Diceros bicornis minor: one gene and its partners. The protein of the gene in region 2 interacts with the protein of the main gene of each other region in a pairwise test. Links are inferred from orthologs where the notes say so. Each region holds a gene or a part of one and is shown on either strand. Other genes may lie near its edges. The genes, in order: DPPA4, CRK, PTPN4 and PPFIBP2.

The links.
Region 1: the proteins of CRK (region 2) and DPPA4 interact in binary tests that used the Homo sapiens proteins (3 or more experiments, as listed by UniProt). The two-hybrid records come from large-scale screens. The link is inferred for Diceros bicornis minor from reciprocal best matches to the Homo sapiens genes CRK and DPPA4.
Region 3: the proteins of CRK (region 2) and PTPN4 interact in binary tests that used the Homo sapiens proteins (3 or more experiments, as listed by UniProt). The link is inferred for Diceros bicornis minor from reciprocal best matches to the Homo sapiens genes CRK and PTPN4.
Region 4: the proteins of CRK (region 2) and PPFIBP2 interact in binary tests that used the Homo sapiens proteins (3 or more experiments, as listed by UniProt). The link is inferred for Diceros bicornis minor from reciprocal best matches to the Homo sapiens genes CRK and PPFIBP2.

Annotation. Positions count from the first base shown.
Region 1 is NC_080754.1:12,450,645-12,457,913, forward strand, and holds the start of DPPA4 (developmental pluripotency-associated protein 4), read right to left. Parts: upstream 3,006-7,269; 5' UTR 2,144-3,005; coding exon 2,099-2,143; intron 1,923-2,098; coding exon 1,860-1,922; intron 1,783-1,859; coding exon 1,623-1,782; intron 610-1,622; coding exon 449-609; intron 363-448; coding exon 312-362; intron 88-311; coding exon 1-87. UniProt on the Homo sapiens protein: May be involved in the maintenance of active epigenetic status of target genes. May inhibit differentiation of embryonic cells into a primitive ectoderm lineage.
Region 2 is NC_080757.1:16,257,018-16,264,539, reverse strand, and holds the start of CRK (adapter molecule crk), read right to left. Parts: upstream 3,009-7,522; 5' UTR 2,913-3,008; coding exon 2,672-2,912; intron 1-2,671. UniProt on the Homo sapiens protein: Involved in cell branching and adhesion mediated by BCAR1-CRK-RAPGEF1 signaling and activation of RAP1.
Region 3 is NC_080749.1:12,914,288-12,921,578, reverse strand, and holds the start of PTPN4 (tyrosine-protein phosphatase non-receptor type 4), read left to right. Parts: upstream 1-4,291; 5' UTR 4,292-4,784; intron 4,785-7,291. UniProt on the Homo sapiens protein: Phosphatase that plays a role in immunity, learning, synaptic plasticity or cell homeostasis. Regulates neuronal cell homeostasis by protecting neurons against apoptosis.
Region 4 is NC_080746.1:66,097,225-66,104,610, reverse strand, and holds the start of PPFIBP2 (liprin-beta-2), read right to left. Parts: upstream 3,011-7,386; 5' UTR 2,874-3,010; intron 1-2,873. Other genes in the region: OLFML1 (olfactomedin-like protein 1), read right to left, coding at 6,692-7,386. UniProt on the Homo sapiens protein: May regulate the disassembly of focal adhesions. Did not bind receptor-like tyrosine phosphatases type 2A.

The DNA of each region.
Region 1 (7,269 bases), on a different chromosome or scaffold from region 2:
TTCCAGAAACGATTCTCCCTTGTCCATCATCAATTTTCTCTGTGCTCCTGGCAGGATCTTGGCCTCCTTTGCTGTGACAGGAATGTTCTACAAACAGGATTTGAAAGATGAAGGCGCTATCAGAAGGACAGCCTTATTTGTATTACTCTTTGCTCAGAGTTGGTGAAAAGTGACGACAGGGGGATGTGGTTCCTCCTTAGAAGAAGTAGAGGGGCTGACACAATTCCTCTACTTACTGTTTGATGCTAAAATAGGTAATTAGGATGAGAACTAAATCTTCCACTCTGCCAAATTTTCTACAAATTACTCACCTGTTGATTGGGATAAGCATATTCACAGAGTCGCTTATATGCATCTAATTTCTGAGAAAAGAGAAAAAAGAATTAACAATGAAAGTAAGGTCCCTACCCTTTCTCCCAGCAGCATCGTCTCCCAACCCGGCCCTCACCTGGCCTTTGGTGCTCAGTTTCAGTTGTTGGCACCAGGCTCTCAAGGTGTCTCGGTGAAGCATGTTGGCTGGTGGCAGTTTAGAGGGTAATGGAGGAATTGGTGTCCTCTTCCGAAGTCTTACATCCTCTTTGTCTTGTTCCATCTTTTGAGGACAGCAAGCTGAAGGAGAATGGGATGAAACCAGTGCAGTCACTTTTAGCTCTCATAGTCCAATCCCTGTTGTACAGTTCAATGACTTGCCAAGACCACAAAACCGCCAAAGGTCAGAACCTCAAACCTAGGACTTAATATTTCTGAATTGCACACTTTTTGCTTCCTAAAACTCCCCACCACTGATACGCACTTGCTCCTTTGTGAGCTCTGTAACCCACAGGCTCCAAGGAGGGTGCACTAGAGATTGCACTTCCAATCCAGGGAAATGGTAGAAGTTGTAGACCTGAGATCATAAATATTCAGTGGTGCCTTGTCCTCTCACCATAAAACAAAATAAACCACCCAGCAATGCCACACACACCCCACTATTACCCATAATTCTGCCAGCCTACCTGAGTCAGGGCAGCACTCCAGTCTCATTGCACACAGGTCTCCTGCTGTGCCTCACGCACACTCAGCATTCAAGGAAGAATTACAGAACACACCTCCAGAGAGGACACAACTATGACGACTACACGGTAGTCGCTAGGGTTTACTGAGCCCACATTACTAGTCAGGTATAGTGAAGGTGTTTTATCTAATTATTCTATGTAAATTATAACCCACCTTCCACCGGACCTCTGACTCAACATGGTAGGTATTATCCTCACTTTTTAGAACAAGAAGTGAAGTTTCAAGGATGGGATTTCAAACTTACATTGGTCTGTCCCCAAATCACTGCACTTTGAGATCCTTAACTCCATGCAGTGAGTGAGGGCAAAATGATGATCAGAACCAAAAATGTTGTGGGATTTGGAGACAGGAAGAAATCAGTGTTAACAGGGGTGACCAAAAGAAGGCTTCAGGGAGGTGAGATTTAAGCTAGGCCTCGAAGAAATTTCTTTTATTTGAAGAAAATTCTGTAGGATTTGCACAAGAGAGGACGACGTTCCTTTCCTACTTTTCCTACTCCTTCAGAAAAATTCCTCAGGCCTCTTAGACCTGAGGAAATGAGATCTGAGGACTTGTAGACCTCTTACCTTTGTCATCCTTCACAGATCTTTTTCGTTTGGTCCCCCTCATGGAGGCTTGTTGTGCATTTGGTTCACCAGAAGCCTGCTGTTCCTCTTCGGGTTCTACCGACTGAGGTTTCGACTTGCCAGTCATATGTTCTTCCCCTGATTTCTTTTTGGAATTCCACTGGGGATTAGAGGCACCAGTCAGTCATTCCTCTGGTCCCACCCACCACACACACTACCTGCCTCAAGATAACTCACATCCAAGGCACCAAGACAGTCAGCGAACTCCGCTGGCGGTGTGGATTCCTCTCTGGGTGTCGTCTTAATGCCCAGGTTCATTTATAAGATAGGGAAGCAATGATGGGGAAATGGGAGAAGACCAATTTAAAAGTACAAAAAAAGACAGAAAATATGGATACAAACAAAAGAAGTAGAAGAAAATAAGGTCTGCTTTGGGGGAAGTCGTTACATCACCCATGATATCCATCCTCTCTCACCTGGAAGATTTTCCCCCATTCCTTCACTCTTGACCTCTTCCACATAAGTTTCCTATACTATTGCTGGAGGGATGCTATCAGACCTTCACATCCATTCGAAGATTTATTGTTCTTAGCGTAAAGATATGAAGATAAGCAAATGTCTTTCATATAACCCACCAGCCTCTTCTCACAATACTCTCCTCTGCCCCAAGCTCCAGTCAAAGAATTTCTGTCCTTCCCAACCTAGTTACTTTGGCCTGAAGTGGTATCACTCAGCTCCACCCCACCCCACCCTACTTCTATTTACATTCTTAAATGTTACTCCTCCTCCAGAATTCACTTCGAGCGTTCATCTCTAAACCCTTTCCCGTTTTTACAGACCAAGTCAAATCTACTACCTTTTGCCTCATTCCCACCACTGATCAGTTGCAATTTCACATTTGCTTGTGTCATTTGGTCAATGCCTATTATTCCATTTGATTGTAAGCTTCACAAGGGCAGAATTTCTTTCCCTTTCATCATAGGCACTCAATAAATGTTGGTTAATTGCATCAAAAGAAACAAGAGAACAGTGGGGATAAAGTTGTTTGTACAGAGAATCTGACAGTTGTTGAGCCTCTCTCTTCTATTAGGTATTGTTTGACACATTCCTTATTTTCTTTCCTTTAATCTGCACAGCAATCTGGTGACAGTTTATTTGTTTTTCAGATGCAGAAGCTGATGCCTTACATAACTAAGGGTGCGCAGATAGGCACGTTAGATAGGAATTAAATCCCAGATCAACTTGCTCCCAAACCTAATTCCTTTCCATCATCCCCAAGGTGGGAGTACTGGACAAATTAACATTTGTATGGCATTTTTACATTTCTATTGCAGTTTTACATTCGTATTCAAATTTTACATCTACATAGCCCTTACACAAACTACTCACTTTTGGGTCTCACAAAAGTCTTAAAATTGAGAGTGCAAAAATGACCTGGTTCTAGGAAAGAGACCCTGAGAGTGTTCAGGTTTCCCAGGCACGGGAGTTCAGTTCTTCTGGAACAAGCCTCAAAGCCTCTCCACCTCTTGTTTCTGTCTGCAGTGCTTGTCAAGATGTCTGGCTTATATTTCTTGGCCCTAACGACCCTGGGAAAAGAAGATGAGTTCAGACTCAACACATTTGCTTTAGGATCTGTGTCTGTTGAAGGGAAATTAAAGGATCTCGTTCTTTCCCCGACTCAGCTCATATCTCTTCCTGAAGTCTTTCCCTCACCTCCTCCTTGCCCCTGTTACCATTTCCTTACACCCCTGATACTGGATTCTTCTTTCTGATGGGATAAAGCATCTCTTCAAAACCAAAACAGGAAACCCCATTTCTTATTATTTCCTAGCTCCAATATAACAGGTTGCAGTCATATCCAGGACTTTACTTTTTTTTTTTTTAAAGAGGAGGAAATTGAAGGCACATTCTTTTCTCCTCAAAAGAAGGATCAAGTGTGCTCAGGGGAAGAGAGGAATATGAGGAGACTCACAAGGACAGAAAACAAACCCACTAAGATTGTACTTACCTGCTTGCCTTTTGCATTCTCCATACTCAGAAAAGAAGTCAAGGTTGATAAAAAGAAAGTTCTGCTTACTTCTAAAATGGCCCCTGGCCCAAGATTGCTCTTTTAAAAGTCTCCTCCCACTTCCTGCCACCCAGAAGGAACTCTTCTTTTTCTCCTCCCCTCTGTTCCCTCCCCCACAATTTGTGAATGCTAAATTTGTGTACTGTCTTATTCACAAGGCGACTATTGTATGAATGAATTAATACCATTCCTGGCCCTTTTCTATGAGCTTTTAAACATAATCACGTACAGTGTGGTTCAGGTGACATTGGAAAGTTTAAAACTCCTTCAGAGAAATTCCAAGAAGAAAAATAAAAATTTCCAGAGACTTGTGAATAGGATGGGTGAAAGGATTTAATGATAGAACTTGTGGAAACAATAGGATTCCGGACCAGACTGATGGCTTTAAGAAAGCAAAGCTGTTTTCATGTACCATATACATTCCATTTCTTAAGCAAGTTACTCTACCAATTAAAACTCCAGCGTTCCATCTGTGCTAATAGTAACTAGCACCTTCCCATCTGCCAACAAAGAATTATAGTAGTTTTTAAAGTCTATTGAGTATTTATGTACCAAATTCTAGGCTTAAAAGCTCACAGCCATTATTTTATTGTTCTCCATTTTATAGATGACCAAAGTATGTATAACATCGTATTGATCACTTGCTCAATAGCACAGTGAGAGAACCAGAAATCAAGTGTAGGTGGACGCGATTCTATCCCTTGAGCCCTAACCTACTGACTCCCAAACAAGGTCCAGATTCTCTCAAAAATAGTTTCAAAAATCCCTCCTTCTCAGATCATCCTCCCTGTCAAACTGTCAGGATTAGAGATGGGAGGGGAAGGAATTTCCTGGGTTAAGAACCAGTGATTGTGAGATTCAAACCTTTGTCAGATTACAAAGTCTGTGTTGTTTTTCCTACATCTCATTGCTTGCCCTAAAATGATGAAGAAGAAATGATCCTTACCCAGAATGGAGGGGATAATCTGCTCGCAGGATAGAAATACATGGACATAGGGAGTAAGTAAATGGGACCTAGGAGTAGAGAAGGAAGTGTACCTGTGGACTGGGCATCCCGCAGAGCACCAAGGACGAAAGTGAGTATTTAGAATGTAGATCATCTGGGAGGTCGCACCGGGGCTTTGACTGATCAGTTCTTTACTCTGGCTCAGAGACAACAACTGGTAACCAGTTGTCATCTTCCTTTTCCCAGTGTAACTGGAAGTAACGTTGCTGAGACTGAGACATCTAATCCCAGGCAAGGTACAATCTCTAAAGCGTGTATAAACAGAGCCAGTGTGTGCTGGAATTTGATTTAAGAATTCTTAGTCTCATCACCATTTGGGGGAACACAGTTCTAACAAGTTGCACCAACCATTCAAAAAACATGGGTTAGTTGATGTCCTATGTATAAAGAGGATTAGTACAATTTAAAATATTTGAGCATAATTGGAAACGGTACTACTGGGCTCTTGAATGAAGCAAAAAGAAGCCAAATATCTTTCTAACAGGCTTGTGGGAGTTGTGATAATTTATAAGCAATCTTGGGCAAAGTACGATACCTTTCTGCTTTGGTTTCTCAAATGTAAAATAGGGATAACTGTAAATTTATTGTGTCTTTTAGAGAAATAACTAACACAAATTTATGTGTAGTTTCTTATTAATGTTTAGTAGTCAAAAGAAAAACTTTTTATTGCTTTTTAAAAATGTTATGTCAATGCCTAAAGTTCTATCTACCCTGAGTTCAAAAAATATTCATAACTGAATCTCTTATTCATTTATTGAACAACAGTGTGTTGGGTGTCTGCTGTGTGCTCTGCCTGGGAGACACAGAGGTGGACAATGGCAGACAGGGACCCGGCCCACATGGGCTCACAGCTGGGGGAGAGGACAGATGTTAAGCAAATCATATCAGTAACTAATAATATAAGGAAATGCTCTTTTACTTGATTTTTAAATGCATTATATTCATTTATATGTATTATCAAAACCAATGTAAACTATTCAATTATGACACTTGAAAAATAGGAAAGCTCTGCATGTATGACAGCCTGCAGTAGGGGTTTTGACCTCATCAAGGAAGTCAGGAGAGCAGCGGGTCTAAGGACCAGGTGAACTGAACTAACTGAACAGAGGAAGGATCCGCCCAGAGAGACTGCACTCCTGAGGCAGCCCACCTCGGTTCAGGAACTGAAAGGGGCTGCGTGGGGCTAGGAGAGGGAGGAAGAAAATGTAAGCTGAGTCTGGATAGGTTGGCCTTTTGATCTTTAGGCTAAGAACAATGGAAAAATTCAGGGTGGGGTGGGGATGAAGGTGGGAGTGGGGGTGGGCAGATTCTGAAGAGCATTTTGTAAAGATCTTTCAACGGCAAGGAGGAGAAAGATGAGGTGACGGATCAGAGTAAACATGGGAAGGTAGGTTAGGAGGCTACCGAGGCAATGTTAGGTCTGAGATACTGGCAGCTGGAGCGGAAATGGAGAGTTGTGGCTAACAGCACGGACTGTCTTTAAACCTCAGCCTCCCCGTTACCAGCGTGTGACCTCAGGCAAGTTGTCTCACACCTGCAGGTCTCCCTTTCCTCATCTGTAAGACGGGAGTGGTGAAAACACTAACCCTCACTCAGAGGGTTGTGGGGGAGCGAAGAGGGCTCTCCCATGTCCTGAATAAACAGTGTCTAGGGCAGCACGTGTTGGGTCAATGTTAGATGTTTCTATTATTACAGCATTGGAGAGTGTTAAAAAACAAAATTCAACTGAGTAAATGTTAAAGATCTTATTGGCTTTATTCCATGATTCATGAATCAGGCAGCATCCAATCTAGCAGATAGAAAGGAGCTCTGAGGAGCTGTACAAAATGAAAGATTTTTATAGGCAGAGGGGGACAGCAGGAAGGAAGTTGTACTAGACAAAAAAAGCTGGTTGGTTATGCAAGGTGACTTTCCTTTAGGGAGTGGCAGGGGTCTATCAGGCAGATGACCTGACTAGTGCTGATCAGGCGATTCCTGATGGCTGGTGTAAGATTCCATTTCTGGGAGAGCCAAAAGTGTAAGTTAAGTCTCTGTTTGGTGACATGGGGCTTAGCATAAGTGACTCCATTTTGGCCTGTCTTGTTTTTAGCAAGAAGAATACATATTTGAGAGATGGGGAGTACTCCTCCTACGGTTTCTTTTTTCTTCATTTTTTTGTGTATTTTCTTTTCCAAAAAAAATTTTAATTGAATAAAATGAGCTGAGTTAATGAGGCTTTCAGTTGCTTACCTGGAGGCAATGAATCTTCCAAAGTCATTAATCTGCATTTACAGAAGACAAAACAGGATAGTGTCATACATAACCACCATTTCATATTTGATGGAAGGGAGAGATTTGGCGGGAAGTGGAACTGTGGAGGCTGGTTGGAGGACCTGTCTGGATCTCTCCGCGCTGTGTATTCTGAGAAGTCCTGGCTCAAAAGCTGGGCTTTTAAAAAAACTTATATATAGTTCAATTCATATCCAGAATGATTTTACAAGTTTATAACAGTGCATGCGAACACCTCTTTCTCCATATCCGAGAGACTGGTATTTTAAAAAATACACTAGAACTGGACACACCTAATGTATAAC
Region 2 (7,522 bases):
TTGACCAAACCCTGCCCTATGGCCCTGGGGCACAGCTAGGATAGTCCCAGGCTGCGGCAGCATCGGTAGCCTGTAGGACCTGAACACCTAAGGTAAGTTCAAATAGGTTCACTGGAAAAGGTTGAGAATACCTGGTCTATTCCATTCCTATGACTCTAAAAACTACATCTAGGCCACTCCATACATATTTTACATAGGTATTATGTCCACAAAATATACTATATAATCCTAAGCAAAAAGCTCATTTTCCATATTCCATTTGCCAAATAAAGATTTTAAAAGCCTCTTCATCATTGACTTTTAGATAGCAGATGTGTATTGTCTGAACACTAAAGCCAGTTTCTTCTTGTGATCCTTTCCTTTTGGTCTTTAAATAGAACCTGAGACCCTAGGACACAGACAAAAGCACTGAGTCCTCCATGTGCACTGCTGAGATCTCAAAAGGAAACTGGCTTTGACAGAAAAGAGTACAGTGTAACAGTGTCAGCACTCAGGTCAGAATTCCTAGGTTCAAATTCTGGCTCTGTCATTTACTAGTTGTGTGACCTTGGGCAAGTTACTGAATCTCTCTCACTTTCCTCATCTATAAAATGGAAATATTTTAATAAATGGAGATCATAGTACTTTCCTCACTAGATTGTTACAGACAGTAAATGAGATAAGGCACATAAAGCACTCAGCAAAGTACCTGGCACAGAATAACCAGTCAATAAATGTTAGCTATTAATATTGTATATGCCTTTCTAAAATTCAAGAAAGTCCTCTGTGTGATTTCAAAAGGAAAAGAGCTTCATGTAGGAGGGGTAGAATAAAGATTAAGTTATCTTGATAAAGACAGCAACTGGATCCTATGTGAAAAATAGGGTACACAGCACAAAGAATTACCACAATGCCCATGAACTTTCCACACCCCATCCACAAACTTTGGCAATCTTCACCTTCTCTCTTGGGCCAAGGATCTGAACTCATATCTGCTATGAAAAGGTGGAGCTCAATACCAAAGTAAGTGCTGCGATATAAAGTCATAATGCCAACATGTGGAGAAAGCTCAAACAAACCTGCCTACTGCCATTTCCAAATTTTGCAACCAACAGAACACATACACATACAGAAGGTTGAGAACTGAGCTTCGGTGACAGTTTGCCATCATGTCACTAAACTATAATGCAAAACCCTAGATACTGTGCAGGTTGTAAACAGCAGAAAATATCTGGTTTAGGGCAAATATATGTTACATCAATATTATCATCTCCTGTCATAATGCTATTAAACCTACCAGACTGAGAAAGACCTAGGACAATTTGTGGACTAAAGATCCCACATTCTTTTTAAAAATTGGCAAGGGTTAACAACAAAGAGACTGATTATCCTGTCCCCCCATTTCTGGCCAGAGTGAATAAACCTAAATTAGGACTATGCTAAAAGGGCATGTCTGCAAAGGCTGGCTCAGAAGCCTCCTAATTCACACGAGATTGGCTTGGATCTAGACTGGGCTGGTGAGGAGGAAACTGCTTCAACCCGGGAACAGTGAGAAGACACCAGAACTCCTGTGCTGTTAGACAGGTAACGACAACCTCAGAATTACCGTGTCCCTCACAAATCTCAAGTACTATGTGCAAAAATCTCCTTAACATTTCCCAAACACCTCCAACGGCATGGGTAAGAGAGTCATACCTCAATGATGCTTGGCAAGAAACATCCAGTGCAGATAATTTAAATTCTCAGAGAATCAGCTTGGTGGGGTCTGTTCCCAATACCTAGCAAGACTCAGGCCACAGCCCCAACTTACTGAGCACGGAGACGCCCTAAAGTAGAAGACTGACAATGTTTAAGTCCAAGGAAAAATGAAGTTCCATTCCCTGCCAGGGAAGGGATTGTTTCCACTGCCTTATTTCTGGTTTATTTCCTGAAAAAAATCTTTCCTCCGTTAAACACTCTGAAAACTACAACCCCCTAATTGTGGAGGACAGTCTCTGGACACTAAAATCTCTGTGACACGGTCAGCTGGGCGTCACCTTACTGTGGGCTGGTCGTGGAGGGCTTTCTTCTATCACCAAGGCACTCAGCTCACCACCTTCGTCCTCCGCGGGGGAAGAGGACGGTAAAAGTATTTTGGAAAAATGCCCAAGAAAGGAAAAAGCTGACCGGTTTCCTGAAGGTGTCTCCATCCCTCCGGGCCAGTATGTGGTGACTTCCTACCAAAGGCCACCAGGGGAGTATAGCCAAACCCGGCTCTCCAACACTGCAGGAAATGTTTCAAGCCTAAAAAGCCACTTGCAAGATTATCGGACTCATTCTGGGCACCGCTGCCAAGCGATGCCCCCGCAGTGCCAACATCCCCCTCAGTTCTTTGTCCCCACGTTGCCCGGCTCTGCCCTTGTGCCTGGCCCAGGCGCTAGCCCCACCCTGGGACCGAGGCAGTTCCCCTTCCCCTGGGCTGTCCTCCCAAGTCACACCCAGAGAAGGCCTGGGTCAGCGGCTCCTCCTCCCCCACGCACTCCCGCTCGTCGGTGGGAATGAGCCCCGGCAGCAGGCTGCCCCCTGCCATGGTCACTCCAGCCCTCTGCCCACGTCCCTCGTGAGGGTCAGCTCGCGAGGAGCAGCCGGCCAGGCTGGGGAGTTCCGCGGCCCTCACCCCCGCCCGGGGCCTCCCGTCCCGTCCGTCCCTCACCGGGCGGAGGCTGGGCGGGCGACGGCGGCACCGGTGGGCGCGGGCCGCTGCTGTTAATGATGTAGTGGGAGACGCGCGAGTTCTCCGAGACGCTGAGCACATAGTCCCCGGGGCTGGTGCTCGAGTCCCGCACCAGGAACACCCCGTGCCGCTGGCCCTGCAACAGCGCCACCGCCTCCTGCCGGCTCAACCGTCCCCAGTACCAGCTACTCCGCTCCTCTGAGTCGAAGTTGCCCGCCATGGCCGCCTCCGCGCCTACACGTTGGGCCGCCGCCGCCCCGCGCGCCCCTCCAGCCCCGGCGCCCGCCGCCCAGCGGACCGGCTCCGCTCTCAGCCTCACAGCAGCGCCCGAAATGGCGGCGGCGGCCGCGGGCCTTCCCCACCGGAAATGACGCGCTCCCTGCCCCCGGGAGGACGCCGGGAAGGGGACCGCCGCCCGCCATTGGGAGAAGGGCGAGGGACCGCTTGCTTTCTCACTGCGCATGCGGCCTCATGGGCGTCGCCGCCTGGCAGGGACTGGGACTGCAGAGGATGGAGAGGTGGAGTCCAGGGCCGAGAGGCGGGGCCTCAGCCGGCAGTCCGCGGAGGTTTGTATTCGCCCGGTTGCCCACGCGGTTCTTAGCTCCGCCAGGCTTCGAGATCCTGGAAGGCCCAGAACTTCTAGGCAGCGACTCCGACACAGAATTAGAGTAGCAAAGATGACATGGCCTCAGGGCCCGAGCTCCCTGAGACGGTCTTTTTTCTGATGATTCCTCCAGCTTCTCCCCAGGCCGGCTCAAGTTCTTGTTTTCATTGATTCATTCAGCAAACAGTTACTGACACCACATTTGCCCTGCGGGTGCAAAGGTGATCAAGGCTGGATCCTTCCCTCACCGCCTTCTCAGACCAGTGGGAGGAACCAGGAAACAGCCAAAGACAAAGGAATGCCAAGTGCTATGACAGGGAACGGACTAGGGACTCCAGGAACACAGAGCAGGGCCCCCTAATCCAGCCTGTAGAGCGATCCAAGAGGGCTTCCCACAGGAGGTGGCTTGAGCTGAATGTTGAACGGCAAGTGGGGAAGGGCATTCAAGACAAAGGGAACAGAGTATGCCAAGCCAGAAGTATGGAGGCTCTACTGAGGCTCTCAAGTCATCTGCCCAGATTCTTCTAAACCGTAATTGTGGCCATGGGTGTGCTCTACACTCCTTGCCATCATAATCATCTCTATCTCTGTATCCCATACCTATATCTGTATTCCTGTGAACAACCTGCTCACTGGTGCTCTATAGTCTTGCTGCCCCTAATTGCATTGCACATCTGCCAGTGTGAACTTTCTAAATTACAACTCTGAGTCTGTGGCTACCCTGTGTAAAACTTTTAACAGTCTCCAGATGTTAAAACTCTCGGTTTAGGACCAGCCTCGTGGCCTAGTGGTTAAAGTTCCATACACTCTGCTTCGGCAGCCCCAGGTTCGCGGGTTCAGATCCTGGGCATGGACATACTCCACTCATCAGCCATGCTGTGGAGGCATCTCACATACAAAAAATAGAGGAAGATTGGCGCGGGTGTTAGCTCAGGGCAAATCTTCATCACCAAAAAAAACCAACAACAACAACTCCCGGTTTAGCTCACAGCATAAAACTGAGCCACGGTCCCATCTTCACTTCTCCCACAGTAACCTTGTGTCTCTTCTTCCTGGAATGCCTGTCCACTCCTTTTGGGATCTCGAAACTCAAATGCCTCCGCTTTCCCAATCACCACATCTCTCCCTCTTTGCATCAATAGCAGTACATCCATATTATCTCCATTTCTTACTGGTTGTACTGTAATCATTTACAGGTCTGTGTCCCATGCTAGAGCTCCTCAAAGGCCAAGCATCTAGTACAGAAGGCACTCCATATATGTTTCATAATAATAGCTTACATTTATTCAAGGAATACTATCTGCCAGGCATAGTGCTAACTGCCTTTATATGGATGATCTCATTTAATCCCCTCAACAACCTTATGAGTTGGTATTTTACAACTATCTCCATTATACAGATGACGCTCAGAGAGGTTAAGTAACTTGTCCAGAGACACACGACTGCTAAGTGGGGAGCTGGGATTCAAATCCTGGAAGGAGAAGGGAGCTATGGTCACTCTGCTATATCCTCAGACCTCTGGTAGAGGGTAGGAGGTGGAGGGAGGATGGTAGGAATAGACATTAAAAAAAAATCAGTCAGCCCTGGGTTCTGGTCTTACGTGAATGACACACCTCTTCCGGACCTACTTCACACCCCTCCGAGCCTGCTCTGGGAAGGGGAGGGGAGCAAGGGCACCTTCCCTGATATGGGTGACTCATCGTGACCCTGGCTTAGTCACAGCATGTCACCACAAGCCAGCAGCAGAAACCACCCCAGTGTGAATTCCGGCCCTTTGGGAAAGAGAAGTGCTTGGTCTTCATTTTCCCAGGACGGCCGGGCTTTCAGACAGGACCATACCCAGAGACTGCCTGTGGGGTTCTGAAACCATGCCTCTAAGTCCCCTCCCTAGGGCACATGGACATGACAGAAAAGAATACTTTAAAAGAAGAAGAAAAAGAGAGAGAAAGAAGGAAGGAGGAAGGAAAGGAAGAAGAAAGAGAAAGAAAGAGGGAGGGAAGGAAGGAAGGAAGGAAGGGAGGGAGGGAGAGAGAGAGAAAGAAAGGAAAGGAACAAAGGAAACGAAGGAAGGAAGGAAGGAAGAGAGAGAGAGAAAGAAAGAAAGGAAAGGAAGGGAGGGAGGGAGAGAGAGAAAGAAAGAGGGAGGGAGGGAGGGGGGAAGAGGAGAACAAATTGTAACTGGAAAATAAGCAAGGAGATTGGCAAAGAGAGGAGATTCAGCCCCAAGCAGAGAACTATTGAGTGTGTTCTTCCTTGGAGCCAACAGGTAGGAACAGGAGTGGCCCTGGGACAAGCAGAAGGCCAGCCCAGCTTGCCCCTCCCTGCTTTCTCTCCTCCTCCTCCTCCTCTCCTCTTCATACACCAGGATTTGCAGCTATAATGGTGGCTTTTGCCCCCTGATAAGCCCAAGATCTGCCCTACAAAGAATGTGACCTTGCTTAGGAAGGGGTCCTGGTGCTGGGGGGTGTATGTGGGAGGGGTCGGGGAAAGGGACCTGAAGGAGAAGCAGGGGCAAAAGGGGAAAAGAAAGGAAAGGCTGCCCTGCGCAAGAGAAAAACCGCACCAAAGTCCTCCACTTCCTACCCTCCTAACCAAAGAAAGGCATTCTTTATTTTAGCAATGGAGGAGGAGCAGGGGTCAATGACCTGCTTGCCTGCCTGCTGCATGTCGCCTAAAGTGACCAGAGCTGCCTCATACAGCTATGCAGACAGGTCGTGCATTGCACAACGCCAGGGTACTATGTAAATGGAACCCTCTGGAGTTGGGCTACTTATATCCACTTTTCCTTAAAAAAAAAAAGCAAACAGAAAGATTATTTGTATCAAGATGACAAAAATTGCTATTTAGAGAGAAAACTGACAGTATCACCTTCCAAAGTGTGTGTGAGAGAGAAAGAGAAAAGGTAGGCACAATTTATATCAAAATATGTGGAGACAAGGAGAGAGAAAGGAGACAGAGAAATTCCAAGTCTGCTGGATTTTCTGGACTATGACAAAGAGAGATGCCCCACCTGCCAGTGGGTAGCCCTTAGTTTTGCAGTGACAAGGACCAGTCTTTAAATGTGCAAAGAGGGGGCCGGCCCGGTGGCACAAGCAGTTAAGTGCTCGCGCTCCACTGCAACAGCCCAGGGTTCGCTGGTTTGGATCCTGGGCGCGCACCTATGCACTGCTTGTCGAGCCATGCTGTGGTGGCATCCCATATAAAGTAGAGGAAGATGGGCATGGATGTTAGCCCACGGCCAGTCTTCCTCAGCAAAAAGAGGAGGATTGGCAGATGTTAGCTCAGGGCCGATCTTCCTCACCAAAAAAAAAAAAAAAGTGCAAAGATAAGATCTGGAGGCAGACACTAGGGGAAACCTCTGGGGAGAAATATGAGGGGACTCAAGGAGGGCCTTCGGGAGCAAAGCGTGCTGGGAACCAAAGCAAGAGGCCAGACCTTCCCAGAAAGGGCAGTGAGATGCTCCCAATGGCAACAGTCCGTAGGACTGTTGAGAGTGAGTTATCTGCCTTGCAGCAATGTAAATCTCCCTCATACCCCCATCTTTTAGGAAAGCTGCTCACACAGATGCCTTTTGTGGGGAGGAGTCCAGAAGAATGTGCCAACTTCCTTGTCCCCATCCTCGTGGAGCTGAGAAAATCAAGAACATCTGAAGGAGGTGAGATGCAAATGCACCCATCTTTTCTTCTCCTCTTCTCTCTCTGCTTACTCCTCTCTGGCCCACTGACCTTTTCTCTAAAAATCCCCCACGCTTTGCACTTGCTGTTCCCTCTGCTGGATATCCATGGTCGCTGGCTCCCCTGCTTCAGGTCTCTGCCCCAGTGCTGCCCCGCAGGGAGGCCCTCCCTCACCAGCCCATTTGAAACTGCAAACTGCACACCCACTTCTCCCTCTCCCCCTCCCTGTGTCTCTGCTTTATTTATTTTCCTAGTTCTTATCTCCTTCTAATCTAGTACATATTTTACATATTTGTTTTCTGTCTTGTCTTCTCTTCCTCTCTAGAATATAAGCTCCATAAAAGCAAGGATTTTGGTCTTTTTTGTTCCTTCTATATCCCAAGTGCCTGGCAGAGAGCCTCCCACACAGTAGGCAGTAAGTACATATTGGTCGAATGAAGGAATGAATAATGAATTGGAGTCAGGTGGAGGCTCTCGTCCAGAGCCAAAGTTAGCTTCCTACAATTGGCAGATAGCTCCTGGAGGGCACTGGACTTCCCACAGGATGGTAGC
Region 3 (7,291 bases), on a different chromosome or scaffold from region 2:
ACATAATAAAGCCCATTTATGACAAACCTACAGCCAACATCATACTCAATGGGGAAAAACTGAAAGCCATTCCTCTGAGAACAGGAACAAGACAAGGCTGCCTACTTTCGCCACTCTTATTCTACATAGTACTGGAGGTTTTGGCCAGAGCAATTAGGCAAGAAAAAGGAATAAAAGGAATCCAAATAGGCAATGAAGAAGTGAAACTCTCACTATTTGCAGATGACATGATTTTATATACAGAAAAGCCTAAAGAATCCATTGGAAAACTACCAGAAATAACAACTACAGCAAAGTCGCAGGGTACAAAATCAACCTACAAAAATCAGTTGCATTTCTGTATGCTAATAATGAACTAACAGAAAGAGAGCTCAAAAAGATAATACCATTTATAACTGCATCAAAAAGAACAAAATATCTGGGAATAAATCTTACTACGGAGGTGAAAGACCTATACAATGAAAACTACAAGACATTATTGAAAGAAATTGATGATGACATAAAGAAATGGAAAGATATCCTATGCACATGGATTGGAAGAATAAACATAGTTAATATGTCTATACTACCTAAAGCAATCTACAGATTCAACATAATCCCTATGACATTCTTCAGGGAAATAGAACAAAGAATACTAAAATTCACATGGGGCAACAAAAGACCCCGAATAGCTAAAGCAATCCTAAGAAAAAAGAACAAAGCTGGAGGCATCACAATCCCTGAGTTCAAAACATACTACAAAGCAATAGTAATCAAAACAGCATGGTACTGTTACAAAAACAGACACAGATCAATGGAACAGAATTGAAAGCCCAGAAATAAAACCACACATATACGGACAGCTAATCTTCAACAAAGGAGCTAAGAACATACAATGGAGAAAGGAAAGTCTCTTCAATAAATGGTGTTGGGAAAACTGGACAGCCACATGCAAAAGAATGAAAGTAGATCGTGTGCTATGGCCATTCACAAAAATTAACCCAAAATGGATCAAAGACCTGAAGGTGAGACCTGAAACTATAAAACTCATAGAAGAAAATATAGGCAATACACTATTTGACATTGGTCATAAAGGAATCTTTTTGGATGCCATGTCTACTCAGACTAGGGAAACTAAAGAAAAAATAAGCAAGTGGGACTTCATCAGATTAAAGAGCTTCTACAAGACAAATGAAACCAGGATGAAAATGCATAGACACCCTACCAGCTGGGAGAAAATATTTGCAAACCATATATCTGACAAGGGGTTAATCTCCATAATATATAAAGAACTTGCACAACTGAACAACAAAAAAACAAACAACCTGATTAAAAAATGGGCAGAGGAAATGAACACACAGTTCTCCAAAAAAGATATACAGATGGCCAATAGGCATATGAGAAGATGTTCAACATTACTAATCATCAGGGAAATGCAAATCAAAACAACACTAAGATATCACCTCACGCCCATTAGAATGGCTATAATCACCAAGACAGAAAACAATAAATGTTGTAGAGGATGTGGAGAAACGGTAACCCTCATACACAGCTGGTGGGAATGCAAACTGGTGCAGCCTCTATGGAAAACAGTATAGAGAGTCCTCAAAAAATTAAAAATAGAAATACCCTATGATCCAGCTAACCCACTACAGGGAATCTATCCAACGAACCTGAAATCAACAATCTGAAGAGGCTTATGCACCCCTATGTTCATTGCAGCATTATTCACTATAGCCAAGAAGTGGAAGCAACCCAAGTGTCCCTCGACTGATGACTGGAGCAAAAAGATGTGGTATATATATACAATGGAATACTACTCAGCCATAAAAAAAGACAAAATCGTCCCATTTGCAACAACATGGATGGACCTGGAGGGTATTATGTTAAGCGAAATAAGCCAGAAAGAGAAAGACAAACACTGTATGATCTCACTCATATGTGGAATATAAACCAACACACGGACTGAGAAAACTGTATACTGGTTACCAGGGGCAAGGGGGTTGGGGGGTGGGCACAAGGGGTGAAGGAAGACTTGTATACGGTGATTAACAAACAATAATGTACAACCAAAAATTTCACAATGTTATAAACTATTAAGACATCAATTAAAAGAAAAAGTGACTTCACAATTTTCCTAAAGAATAGTAGATGGATACGAGGCTTCCATTCTTTATCTAAAGGGCTCATCCTGTGGAGTTTCCCAAAACAAAGAGTGTCCTCCTGCAGCCCCTCCAATGTTGAGACTCCAGCTATATTTATAAATCACACTTATACTTGTATAAAAGGTCACTGTGGTTCACTGATGCGGGTGGGAAGAATGGGCTGGAGGGGGAGGGTCTTGAGATAGCAAGATTAGTAGGAGGACTAGTTAGAAGGCTCCCCGAGGCATCAACAAGAACAAATCTGGACCAGACCAATATTACCCAGAGACACAGCAACCTCCCAGATCCTAAGCTGAGGAAGATCCTGCCCTGTCTCAAGTACCTTCCTGAAATCCCATCAGTTAGAGATTTAAGAATTTCACTCTTTCAACAAACTTTTTTGACACCAGGCAGTGTCACCAGACATTATAGGGGATACAAAGATGACTAAGACAAGGTCCTTGCCCTCAAGTAACTTACCATGTGGTAGTGGCGATAAGACCCACACAAGGATGGGTATTGTGTAACAAAATGTGCATTGTGATAAGAAAAAGGGAGGCAAAAACCTAGAACTCTCAATGTCGGAGGAAGAAATTACTTCTGGTGGAAGTCCCATGTGCTCCGTGGTTGGAGGATGTTGACAGGTGGAGATGAAGTGAAGAGCATTTTAGCGGAGGAAATAGCATGAACAAAGTCACAAAAAATGGAGAGTTAGAGGCAGGAAAGCATATTTAGGGAAGGACAAATGAGCATTGGCTGGAACTAAGCTCTGGGAATAAAAGTAAGTAGAAGGTGTAATGCAGGAAAAATATGGACTCACAAGTTGTCTTTTTAAAGTGGAAAAACTAGGGGCCGGGGCGGCCCCCTGGCATAGTGGTTAAGTGCGCACACTCCACCGCTGGCAGCCGGGGGTTCCATTCCCGGTGCACACAGAAGCACCGCTTCTCAAGCCATGCTGTGACAGCCTCCCATATAAAGTGGAGAAAGATGGGCACAGATGTTAGCCCAGGGCCAGTCTTCCTCAGCAAAAAGAGGAGGATTGGCATGGATGTTAGCTCAGGGCTGATCTTCCTCACAAAAAATAAAATAAAATAAAATGGAAAAACTAAATGGGGGTGCGAGGGAGAAGAGGATCAATAGAAATTGCTGTCTTTCACAGATGTGTATAAATTTGCAAGATTTCCTCTTGCAAAAACCACCCCTGGTTAATAAATAGGCATTTCGTTGGCTTGGAGGGACAGTGATTTTTGAAAAACGTTTGTATGAAGGCTGGCTCTGGCGGGATGCTGAAGCTAAGAGCAAGGAAGAGCAAGAAGGCGACAGGAAGGGGCACTGACACAAACGAATGCAAAAAGGATGTGTAATGGTCCCTAAATCCCTCCTTACATCATTTCAGCTGAGGTCGCCCAGCCTGTAGGCATTTGTCTTATCACCAATAAGTTTGTATCATCAATAAAATATTAGAATGCACCTGGCTAAAAACCCTGGCGTGATAACACCAAATTCATACGCGCTATTAGAATGAATTAATTCAATTTTTAAAAAGCACACACCGTCCCTGGCACACAGAAGGCACCCAAACGTTTGTTTTATAACTGAACGTTGTTTGTTCTTTGTTTTAGAGTCTATATTTAGGAGAGGAAATGATTCAAACCTGCATCCTAAAACCTACATCCTCTATTAGCACTGAAGTTGGGACGACCTGGGGCCAAGAGGTCTCGTTTTCCCCTTTTAAAACTTAGGTTTCTTGTCGCTCCGTCCGGTCCCTTAGGTCAGTAGGTCCAGCAGGGATCGCAGTTCAAGTAACCAATCGCTGAGGGGCCATGGGGCGGAGACACAGCGCTCCGCCTTCTCCTCCCAGCCCTTCCTCCCCTACCTACCCAGGTTCGGCCTCCCTCGCACCTGAGTGTCCCCCCGCGCTGGGGCTGGTGCAACCTCTCCAGTCTGCGCTAGCGGGGAAGGGGTTTGGCCTTGCGTCTCGCGAGATCGCCTCCTGTTGCTGCCGCCGCGGCTCCCGATCGCTGACTGGCGGCGTCTGCGCAGCCGCCATGTTCGGTTGCTATGCTGTGGCCTGGGAGACCGGGTGTGCTTGAGGGGGAAGGAGGAGGAGGAGGAGACGGAGGAGGAGGAGGAGGAAGAGGAGGGGGGGTGGCTTGAGCTCCTCCTGCACTCTCACATACAAACGCTGCCCGGGGTTACCCGCCCGCCCGCGCCGCGCGCTTTTCCGCTCCTTGCGGCCCCCCACATTGTTCTCTCAGGACTCCTGGGTCCCCAGGGCTGAATTAGGGGCCTGAGCCGGGGAGAGGAGAGACTTGTCTGTGGCCGAAGGGTCGAAGGTTCGGGTCCAGGCCCCCCGCCCTGGGACTTCCCTCCCCCACGGCACCTTAGGGGGTGTGAATTATCTCATCCCCGCAGGGAGGTGGGAGCGCGCGCCGGCTGCCCGCCTCCCGCCCGCCTCCCCGGCGGCGCCGGCCCGCGGCAGCCCCGCAGAATGAGGTGGTGCTGGCGGCTCGGGGCCGTGGCGCGGCCGCTGCGGCGGCGGCTGCTGAGGGGGCGCTGAGGGAACCCCCGGGAGCGGCGCGGCGGACGCGCTCCTCCCCGGCGCGCCCGGGCCTCCAGGCTTTTCTTCTCCAGCCGAGAGGACGCGGCTGAGATAGGAAGGTAAGAGGCTCCCGTGTCCCCGCCGGCCCCTCGGCCCTGCACGTTGTACGCGAGGCTGCTACCCGGGGCGTGTGTGGCTCGTGGGAGGCGAACCAGGTAAGGCAGCCGGAGGTACAAGGTTGATGTAAAAGGAAGGAAAAAATGATGCTTCCACATCGCGCCCCCCCCCTTCTTCCTGGGACCTCTGCTCTCGGAGCTCCTCTGGGTTACAGTTGGAATCTGTTATGGATGAGCGAAGGGAGAAGGGATGGCATAGGTGCGGAGATGGAATGTTCCACCGTACCTAAACTCTAGGTAAGGTTTTAGAATCTTCTGAGTTTTCCATTGCTGGTAGGATTCTTTTTTTTTTTTTATTGGCTCATATGAGCGCTTCCTGCATGCTGCACGAGCAGACTGACCCTACCGTTGAAGTTTTAAGCCTCTTATGATTCTGCCGGTATATGCTTGCTTTTAAGAATCTGTAGTTGGGCCAAAAAAAGTTGAGATGTAGCTAAATAGTCGTACCGATGCATTTCCTAGGGTTTCCTTAAAATGGAACAGTTTGCACTTGCACGGATAAATGTATAGATGTTTCTGCGAAACAGAATGGGAGACTTTATGTCTGGGGTTGCGTTATGTAGTGACACCACTATGTACAAGGACGATTTGTAGGATTTTCAAGCGCTTGTTCTAGGAGAACCTGTATATTTGCGGTGTATAAACTGTTCTTCGAATCAGAGAATGGACTAATATTAGGTTTATGTGACCAGATCTTGGGCCCAATTGAAACAGTACAGTTTAAAACCTGTTTATGGAGGGGAAAAAAACCCCAAAGCCAATGTATCCGACTTGTAGAAGACGATTTGAGTAAAAAGAAGACTGGAACAGTAAAAGCCAGCGCATTTTTTATCCTGATTTTTGAACTGTAACGTGCCAGAGAAAAAAAAATTATTTTTCGTTTTTTGAAGAGAGGAGGAGATGACCTTAAAATGATTATTCAGAGCCCAAAGTGTGCTTAATGGAATAGAGCTAGGTATATCAGTTAAATCTTGAATTTGATGAATATAAATTCAACCTATAGTTTTCTTTAAAAAAAGACTTTTTTTGTAGGCAAAAGTTTGTGTATTGTACAGAACTTCTTTACTAACTTGTGATAAAAGAGTGCTGTCATTTTGTAGACTCCACCATTTTTTGTCAGAATAAATTTATGCTCCAATTACCACAAAAGCTATTTTTATGTGTTCATTTTTTTTTTTTTATGGCACACATATCTTTGTTACTGTTTTGCATTGAAACTTCTGCATGGTCCCATAATATCATGATCTTGAGTGGTTTATAAGAAGAGAAACATGGTCTTTTTTGTACATGGGAATATTTATAATTAACCTAATGTGTTTTAAACATCTGGCAAGAGATTTTGAAAACACAAAGAGCCATCACTATTTTGTAGTTTTTATTAATATTAATTGAGTAGGTTAAAGTTTATTAAGTTAGAAAATCACAGTTCCTCAAAAGTAGTAGTGGATGAGGATGTGACTTTCATATTGCCTATTTTCTAACCTGTTTAGCTTCTGGGCTGTGAGTATTGAATTGTTTCAAACTTGTGGCTTTTTCTTATGTTCTAGTTGAATGTCTTTAAAAATGTCCCTAGTAACTTTGTTACTTTAAATTTGTGACACCCAATTTCTAATTTAGGCTAGGCATAAAACCAGCATTGATTGGACACACTTGCTAAAAATACTTTCTGGGTCAGATGTACTTAGAATGTAGCCTCAGGAAAATTCATTTGAACTATTCTACTGTGACCAATGTACACTTCATTATTATTGAAGGACTTTAAAAGATTACAGACTCTCACAAATTAGATTTCTTCAGTTCAGGCATAGAAGCCTAACTTTTTTTAATGTGTGAAGTACTTTATTTGGGACAGTAATAAAAACTTTTTTCATTGTGTTTTTTTCTTTCTTATGTGACTCCCATAAACTATTATTAAACTCTGATTTGTATATTCAAAATATTTTAGTTTTGCTATTAAACATAATTTGAGTTGTAAAGTGACAGTACGATGTGCAGTGTTATCTGTTTGGTATTTATGACCTATTCTAAACACTATAGGGGGGATCAGTGGTCATGTTTTTGAGGAACAAAGTAAGAGACTACTAGATAATTTCAAGGAGAAATTGTTATTGACTGTTATTGAGAGGGCTTTTTTTCCCCACCCTCTGAGAGTTAATATGGTCAGTTTTAAACAGTAAGAAAGCTCTAAAAAAATATATAGAATTCTTGTTTGGGAATGTTTAAAGACAAATGTTTAAAAGTTCTGTTTTAATTCTTTATGTTAATTATTAAGAATGTAAAATTGGTGCCCTGACTAGAAATGGCAAGTCTATGTCACTTAATGGGGCTAAATATGAATTGTTGCTCCTAAATAAAATTTAGTATTTGCAGAAATTCACTGGTTACAAACTGAGTTGAATTTTGTTGTTTTTCTGGGTAATAACATGCATGTTATAAAGTTTTTTATATGC
Region 4 (7,386 bases), on a different chromosome or scaffold from region 2:
AGTGTGTGAGAGATAAGACCGGCCTGGTGAAGATCCCCAAGATCGAACGAGACCTGGCTTTCAGAGTCTATAAAGGATACAGCCCACCTGTCTGAGACTACTTGTGGATTCTGCGAAAACTGAGACACACAGGTGCCATCAAGTGTTGAAACCAAAGAATGATGCCAGGAAGCATAAAGTGGAACTGCTCTGAGGAAGGAGGAAGCAGGAAAAATAGTGACTCAGGAAAACACACAGCTGCCAAGTTTCAGCCTGGTTGTGCCCACACCAAGTGATGACAGTGTCACTTTTTTTTTTCCTGAGTGTCACCTCTTGAATGGGGGTACACAGTCTAGGAACTTAACAAATGTTTAAAGGTCTCATCAGTTGTGTTCACATTAGCTCTTCCTTCTCATATTTTGCAATAGGGGATCCACCAGAAGATTTTAAACAGGGGAGCGTCATGAACAAATTTGTATTTCAGGAAAAAAAATTTCCAATGGCCAAGTAAAAAACAACTTCCAAATTTTATCCCAAATGTTACAGTCTAAAGGGCATGCCATTCCTTGTCTAAAGCTGAATTCTCCCAGAATTGTTCCTCCCTCCTCACTTCTCAACCCGTCCAGTCTAGAGACTGAACAGCCCACTCCCTGGCCCTCTGGCTTGTAGATTCTCTCTCTCGAGTCTCTCCTACCAGCTCCACCCTCTCAGGCCCAACATAAGGCCTTGTCACTTCTGTCCTGATTGACCTTCCAGTGTCCTAACTGACCTCTCCACCCCCAGTGTCTTTTCCCTCCAGTCCCTGCTTCCCGCACCGCCAGAGTCCATGACAGCAGTTCCCACACGGCCTTCAGCAGAATCACCTGGGGGAACTTGATAAAAACATCCCCAGACTTACTTTATCAGAATAGTTTAAAAGCTCCCCAGGTGAGTCTAAGGCATACCTAGATTTGCAAACTACTGCTCTTAATCTTGCTATAGATAGCGAAGGGATCTCACCACGGGGAACTTGTTAGAAATGCAGAATGTCAGGTCCCACTCCTGACCTAGGAATCAGAATCTGCATTTGAACAAGATCCTCAGGCGATTCTTAAGCTTGTTAAAGGTTGAGAAGCACTGCTCTAAAGCGTTGCCTGACCGTTCATTCCACAAACATTTACTGGATTTTCTCCACATCAGGCTAGGGGTTGGGAGAGTCAAGGGCCAAGGTCCCCTGACTTTCAACTCACAGAACCATCAGCCAATCCCCTGCTTGAAACTCATTATTGGTTCCCATGCTCGTGCTTTCAAAGTCCAGACTTCTGGCCCTGGCTTTCGCGGCCTGCCGCGACCACGTTTCATCTCTGTCACCAGCTTTATTGTCTACCGCTCGCCAGAGGAGCCAAGCTAGACCACTTGCCACTTCTCACGGCTAGTCTAGCCAGTGCTTGCCTGCCTACACAGCTCCCACAGCCCAGGTCACCCTCTACCCATCTCTGCCTGGAGAAACCCAGGAGAAATCCTTTTGAGATCCATCACACACACGTCACTCCCTTCTTGAAATGATCTCAGCTTTTCCTCCGAAGCACAGGAGTTCCCACAACTCTTTGCTCTCACCTCCTTCATAGCACTTGTCTCATTCTACTTAGTCGTAACAGCAGTGCACCTGCCATAGCTACCCCAGTAAAGAAGAGACCACGATTCTCAGTTTGTCTCCTCAGTAGCAATAAGCTAATAGCTGGCACATCATCAAATCTCAAAGTAATAATAATGTATAAATAAAATCATGGATGAATGCAGTAAATGAAAATTCACCAGTCTCCCTCATGTCCCACTTCAAAGTCGTTTAAATATGAATTTAAACAGAATACAAATGGGCTGCCTCTCTTAAACCCAAAAGAGAAATAATCTCTAAATCAAATAACATTTTGTGTTTTCCATATACAACTGGTAATCAAAGACTGAACATGCTAAAGATGAATTATGTCTGCAGCCAACTACCTTTCTGTAGTTGGGCATTTAACTTCACAAAATGCAACATACAATTTGGAAACATTTTGGATTTGTATTATAATCAATTAAAGAACAGGGAGAGGAAGGAGAGATGAAGAGAAAGACAGGAAGTAGACCAAAATATGGAAAGGGAGACGGATCTATACCAAATATCCAGCTGCTCTAAAAGTAAAACTATAATTTGTTTTGTAAGAGGATTAAACACTTGCTGGAATGCCCCTTTCAATCCTACCCAAAGTTGGAAGTTTTGGTCTTTAAATATATTATTTTCATCTGAGGAAGAACCGCTGGTCTGGCGTAGGGACGTCCTGAGGCAGAGGAGGAGCCCACTTTCAAACAGGGCCATCCCCACTTGCAGTCTACTGGGACGCAGTGGCCTGCGAGTTTGAAAAGCATGCTGCGTTTTTGCAATGACAACAGAGTCGGTCTCAGCCAAGGCGCTGCACCTGGACACACGCTCTGCCGAACGGATTTGCTTGGGCAAATAGACCGTAAATTTCCCGACCGCCTTGGGCTCTCCAGATTACGCGGCTGCTCCAGCTGACTAAACAGAGCTCTGTCATACCGCACAGAACTGAGGTGACCGACCACCCTGCGCATCTCCAGGGCCATCCTGGCACCTGTAGGAGCGCGGACTGTCCGTAGATCCCAGGCAGGGGTGGGCGGAGACTCGGAGCAAATCCGCAGGAGTTATACCCTCCTCCCATCTTCTGGCCAGAGAAGGGGAGAACGGCCCCCGTCCTCGAGGCTGGGACACGCTCTGGCGCCCACACCGGCACTGACCCCCACGCTCCGAGTGGTTCTTGGATCTCGGAGCTCTCTGTTCCCCAAGCAATGCCCCTGCGCGGGCTCCCAGTTCGGACCGCGCAGCGGGCCTGGGGGTGTGGGGACAGCCCACTGACCTGGGTGCGGGGCTCCTCTCCGCGCGGCTCAGGTGTGCGGGCCGCTCTTGTGTCCCTCCCACCTCCGTATATGAGAGCCGAGAACCGAGCTGCAGGCCACTGACCCACCGACCAACTGACCCACCAACCAGCGCACCGACCGGCAGCGGCAGGGTCTGGAGCCCACGTGACGGGGGCGGGGACCCGCGGGAGGCTCGTCCCGGAGCTCCCGCTCCCCCACCCCCTCTGACCGCCCCTCTGCCTCTCCCCCTCCCCCTCGGGTACCGTTGCGGCCGGTAGCGACCGGCCTCGACAATCCCGCCTCTTCGAACCTGCTTCAGCCCCCGCCCGGCCCCAGCTCCGCCCCCGCCCCCGACCCCTGGACCATCGTGGGAGTCCCCCAAGCCCCGCCTCTTTTGGGAGGCCACGCCCCTCCCTGGAGCCCCGCTCCTGCACTCTTCCGGCCCCGGGGAGGTCGCCGGGCGCTTCCAGCTCCCAGTCGCGTGGGCTTCTCCAGCCCTTCGCTAACCGCTCTTCGGCCGCAGGGCATGGAAGCGAGGAAGCAGAAAGGGAACTTGTGTCGAGAATTAGGAAGAGAAAGAGAGACGCCATAGAAAAAACGTTTTAGAGGCACACCCAGCGCAGCAACCCGAAGGTGTCCGGACTTCCGGACCCGTGCGATCCCGTCCAAATGGAGGCGGGCCTGAGGGCATCCTCATCCCTTGTCTCTGAGCACCAGCACCCCCCCCCCCCCGCGCAGTTTGGAAGGCTGAGTCACCCTAGGGTCCGGTCACTCGAACCCCGAGACCTGGGGTGGAGGTCCCTCTAGCGGTCAGCGCCGACCAAAGACACTGGAGCCGGTTCTTGTGAACAGTCCAGGACGAGAAGCACTTCCCTGTGCCCAGCACCAAGGCGGGGTTCCATAGGCCCAAGAAAAGCGTTCGTGATGTCTGACCACAGGAATGGATTCTAGAATCAGTGTAGGACTGGGCCCTGGGGACCTAGTCCAACGCCTTCCCCTAGTGTACCGCCTGAATCCCCTTTGGTTGTACTGCTAGGTTGTTGCCCTGCCTGGGCCTCCAAAGACTAGTTGCTCAGTTCAGCTGATTAAAATCCCTGTGGGCCTCAGATGGCATCGACAGCAGGGACTCTGGCAAGTCCCCAGCTCTGGCAGGAGCTGCCCTGGCCTCAGTTTTTATCTATGTTTCTACAGGCTGGAGTGTTGACAAACTCCACAAGACACATCTTTCAAATTACTCTGGTGCTCTGACATTACCAGTGTGCCCAGAAGACTTTTACATGTGAACAAAACTTAAGCCACCCTGGCAAATATGAGACTCTGGTCACTGCAGGAACCTGGCCAGAAGCAGACCTAGGGCAAAGCCAGCAGAGGAAGGCTGGGGCCCACAAGAGTTGTGTTACAACAGGACACCTTTCAGTTCTCTTTCGCTTCCTTAAAATAGCAGCAGAGAGGCCTTTGTAGACTGAGCTGCCACAGTTCACACGAGTTCATGGGTGTTTCCAAATCCCACATGTTGGTGTCCCAGTGAACCCACCGCCCTGACCCCAGCCCCCAATCTGTGCTTAGAACTATACAATTACTTTTTAAAATTACTTTAAGAAGTGGTGCAAGTGTCTGGGTTTCAAGCTTATTCACACTTTGGAACGATGTTGGGGGAGAGGACTTAAAAAATACTGTCTGGGTCTCACCTCCAGAGGTTCCGATTTAATGGTCTGGGGGGTGGCCTTGCTTTAGGATTTTTAAATACTCCTCAGGTAATGCTTATGTGCAGTAAAGTTTAAGAACTTCGACCCTCCCTGAAATCCATCAAGCTGAAAAGTTCACCGGAAAGACGCACAAGGCAGTGTTCACCGGCCTGCATGCTATCCAGCCCTAGCTCCCGGGAAACAAAGTGGCACATTAACTGGGCTTCCTGGAGAAAACGTCTTGACGTAAAAGAGTGATTCTAGCTGCAGGAATTTAAGGCACCAGGTTGTTAGTGGCAGGTACGCCCTGCAGAACTGTCAAATGAAAGCATACCAGAGACGAGAGGCAGTCAGCACGTCACAGGCAACCTCTCCTCCATGCCTCCAGAGGAACTTTGTGTGCAGGACCTGCGCATAATTCCACTCGCTGATAATGCCACACTACCTTCCTCTGTGAGGCAGCCCACATTCCTTTTCCCTGTGAAATAGGTAATGCTATTGTACCCATGGGGCGGGTAATGTCCCGAAACCCATGGAGTGGGTAATATCATCATGTTTGTTTATTCAGAACTGCCTCCTTCCACAACGGACTTGGGCTTTCCGTATCACTTTATTGGAACTGTGGGTAATTGTGCTGTATCCATGCGGTGAGTAATTTTATTCTGCCAAAGATCTACTCAAATGCCCTGGGGAAAAAACAAATGAACTCTCTTCACTGCCTACAGTCCCAGCCTGGGCTTGGCAGAGTCACGAAAACAGCTGCAAAGGCACAAAGCAAACTCTCTCATGTGACCAACCTGGAAGGACAGAGGCCTTGGCACATGACACAGAGTGGCACCACAGCCTGCACTTGTGACCCAAACAGGCTGATTGGACGGATGCGTGGGAAAGATTTTGAAGAAGCCCCTCTGGATAGGCACAGCTGTCCTCTGTCCCCTGTGCCACATGGTACGCCTGCTGTGACAGGGAGTCACTTGCCTGCTACCTGGCTTCCATCCAGATTCCACAACATTTACCAAGGGCCTCTGCGTCTTGGGGTTGGTTCGCAGTAAACCCAAGCACAGGCAGCCCTCCCTGAAACTCTGATGCTGAGGGTATGCAGGCAAATATAACCTCATGAGGTTTATTTGCTGAGTGTCAGTTTTATTGTATTTCAGGGAAGAAGAGAGAAGCAGGGGAAGGTAAGCCAAGATGAGGCTGGAGGTGGGTCCTCACCCTTAGGCTGGTTGTCTGGAGTAAGTACCTTTTGAAAAGCCTTTAGGAAAGTCTTGTGCAGACACGAAAACAGGCTGAAGGGGTATATCATTATTTTGAGGCTGAAATAATGAACATATTGCTTATAAAAGGTTGGACAAAGAAATATACATATTTGATGCTTCCTTGGGCAATGGAAAGACTAAGGACTTTGCAGTATTTTCTAGCTCTGTCTTTCATTTTGTAGCTGTGTTACTTTGAACGGCTCATCTAAACTCTCCTCATCTTTAAATGGGAATTATAAAGACTTGTTCTGCATATCACAAGGATGAGATGAGAATTAAATGATGTGACATAAGTGCAAACACTTTGTAACTGGAAAATGGTATTCAAATGTTAATGTTTTTACTTTATTATTATATCTACCTAGCCTGGTGGAGGGGCAAAGCTAGGGGAAATGGAAATTAAACATCAATAAGAAGTAGTACTTTAGTTGGGCAGTGAAAAATGGAAGAATATCAATAAGCATTTGTGAAAGAAGAAAGAGCTTCAGCAAAAAGGCCAGAGGAGACAAAAGCCAGGAGTATTAGTGGGTGGTCTATATTACTAATTGCTGAGGCGGGGGGAGTTAGAGTAAATGCTTGTAAAAGAAAAGGCTGGACGTAAGCAGGATCAGAATGTGGAAGGCCTTGAGAGCCAGAAGGTTTGGATGGCTAATGGAAGCTGTTGAAAAATTTCTGAATGACAAACTCTCAACTAAGCTTTTGGAAGATCCCTAAGGCCAATAACATCTGGGAAAGGAGGCATATGCATTCCCACTTCTGGACCCTATCCCTGTATGTGACTGGAGGGATACTATATTGCAAAAGGGCTGTGGCCTCATTGTCCTGGAAAGCAGCATCCATAGCCATGGTGCTCTCCATCTCGGCTGTAGGGCATTACTCCGGAGGCTGCTTTCTCTTTGTCTGGAGTTTGTAAATGATCTGGTTTCCATCATTCCAGGCATAGAGCTGCTTATCTCTGGGGTTGTAATGGATCATGGAGTGACTTCTTGGCCGCCTAGGGAAGAACAAGTTGGGCAGATCGTTGTCACTGATAGTGCCCAGCGGATCATAGACACAGTTGATGCGATGGGGGCCGTGGCCACCAGAACTATAGACCACATAGAGAACCCCACACAAGAGGAATGAGGCTTCAGCATCCTGGCTTCTGCATGGAGTGTCCCATGAATGTTCCACTCCCAGTGTGCCAGGCTCAATTTTTGTGAGAACCAAATGGCTTTGGATGCCTGGCCCTGAGTGGATGGCCCAGAGCCCATGCTCATCCACAGCCAGGTCAATGTAAGTTGAGGGAGAGTGCTGGTAGACCAGCGCTCGGCCTGCCCCTCCTGGGAGCAACATTCGATCTTCCACAGTCCTCTTCTGCAGATTATATTTGATTATCTCGTTGGGAGTCCCTCGGTTGTGAAAAAATAGAAAACCCTTGTAGATCACTTGGCCTGTTCCCTGCCAGGAACGTGTTAGGATTAGCTTCCGGGGGCCTGGCTTGGTGCCATCCTCCACGAATGCCCGCATGTTTGCAAATTCCCAAACAGTGTTGCTTCTGGACCCAATGAAGAAGTAAACCTTTGGAG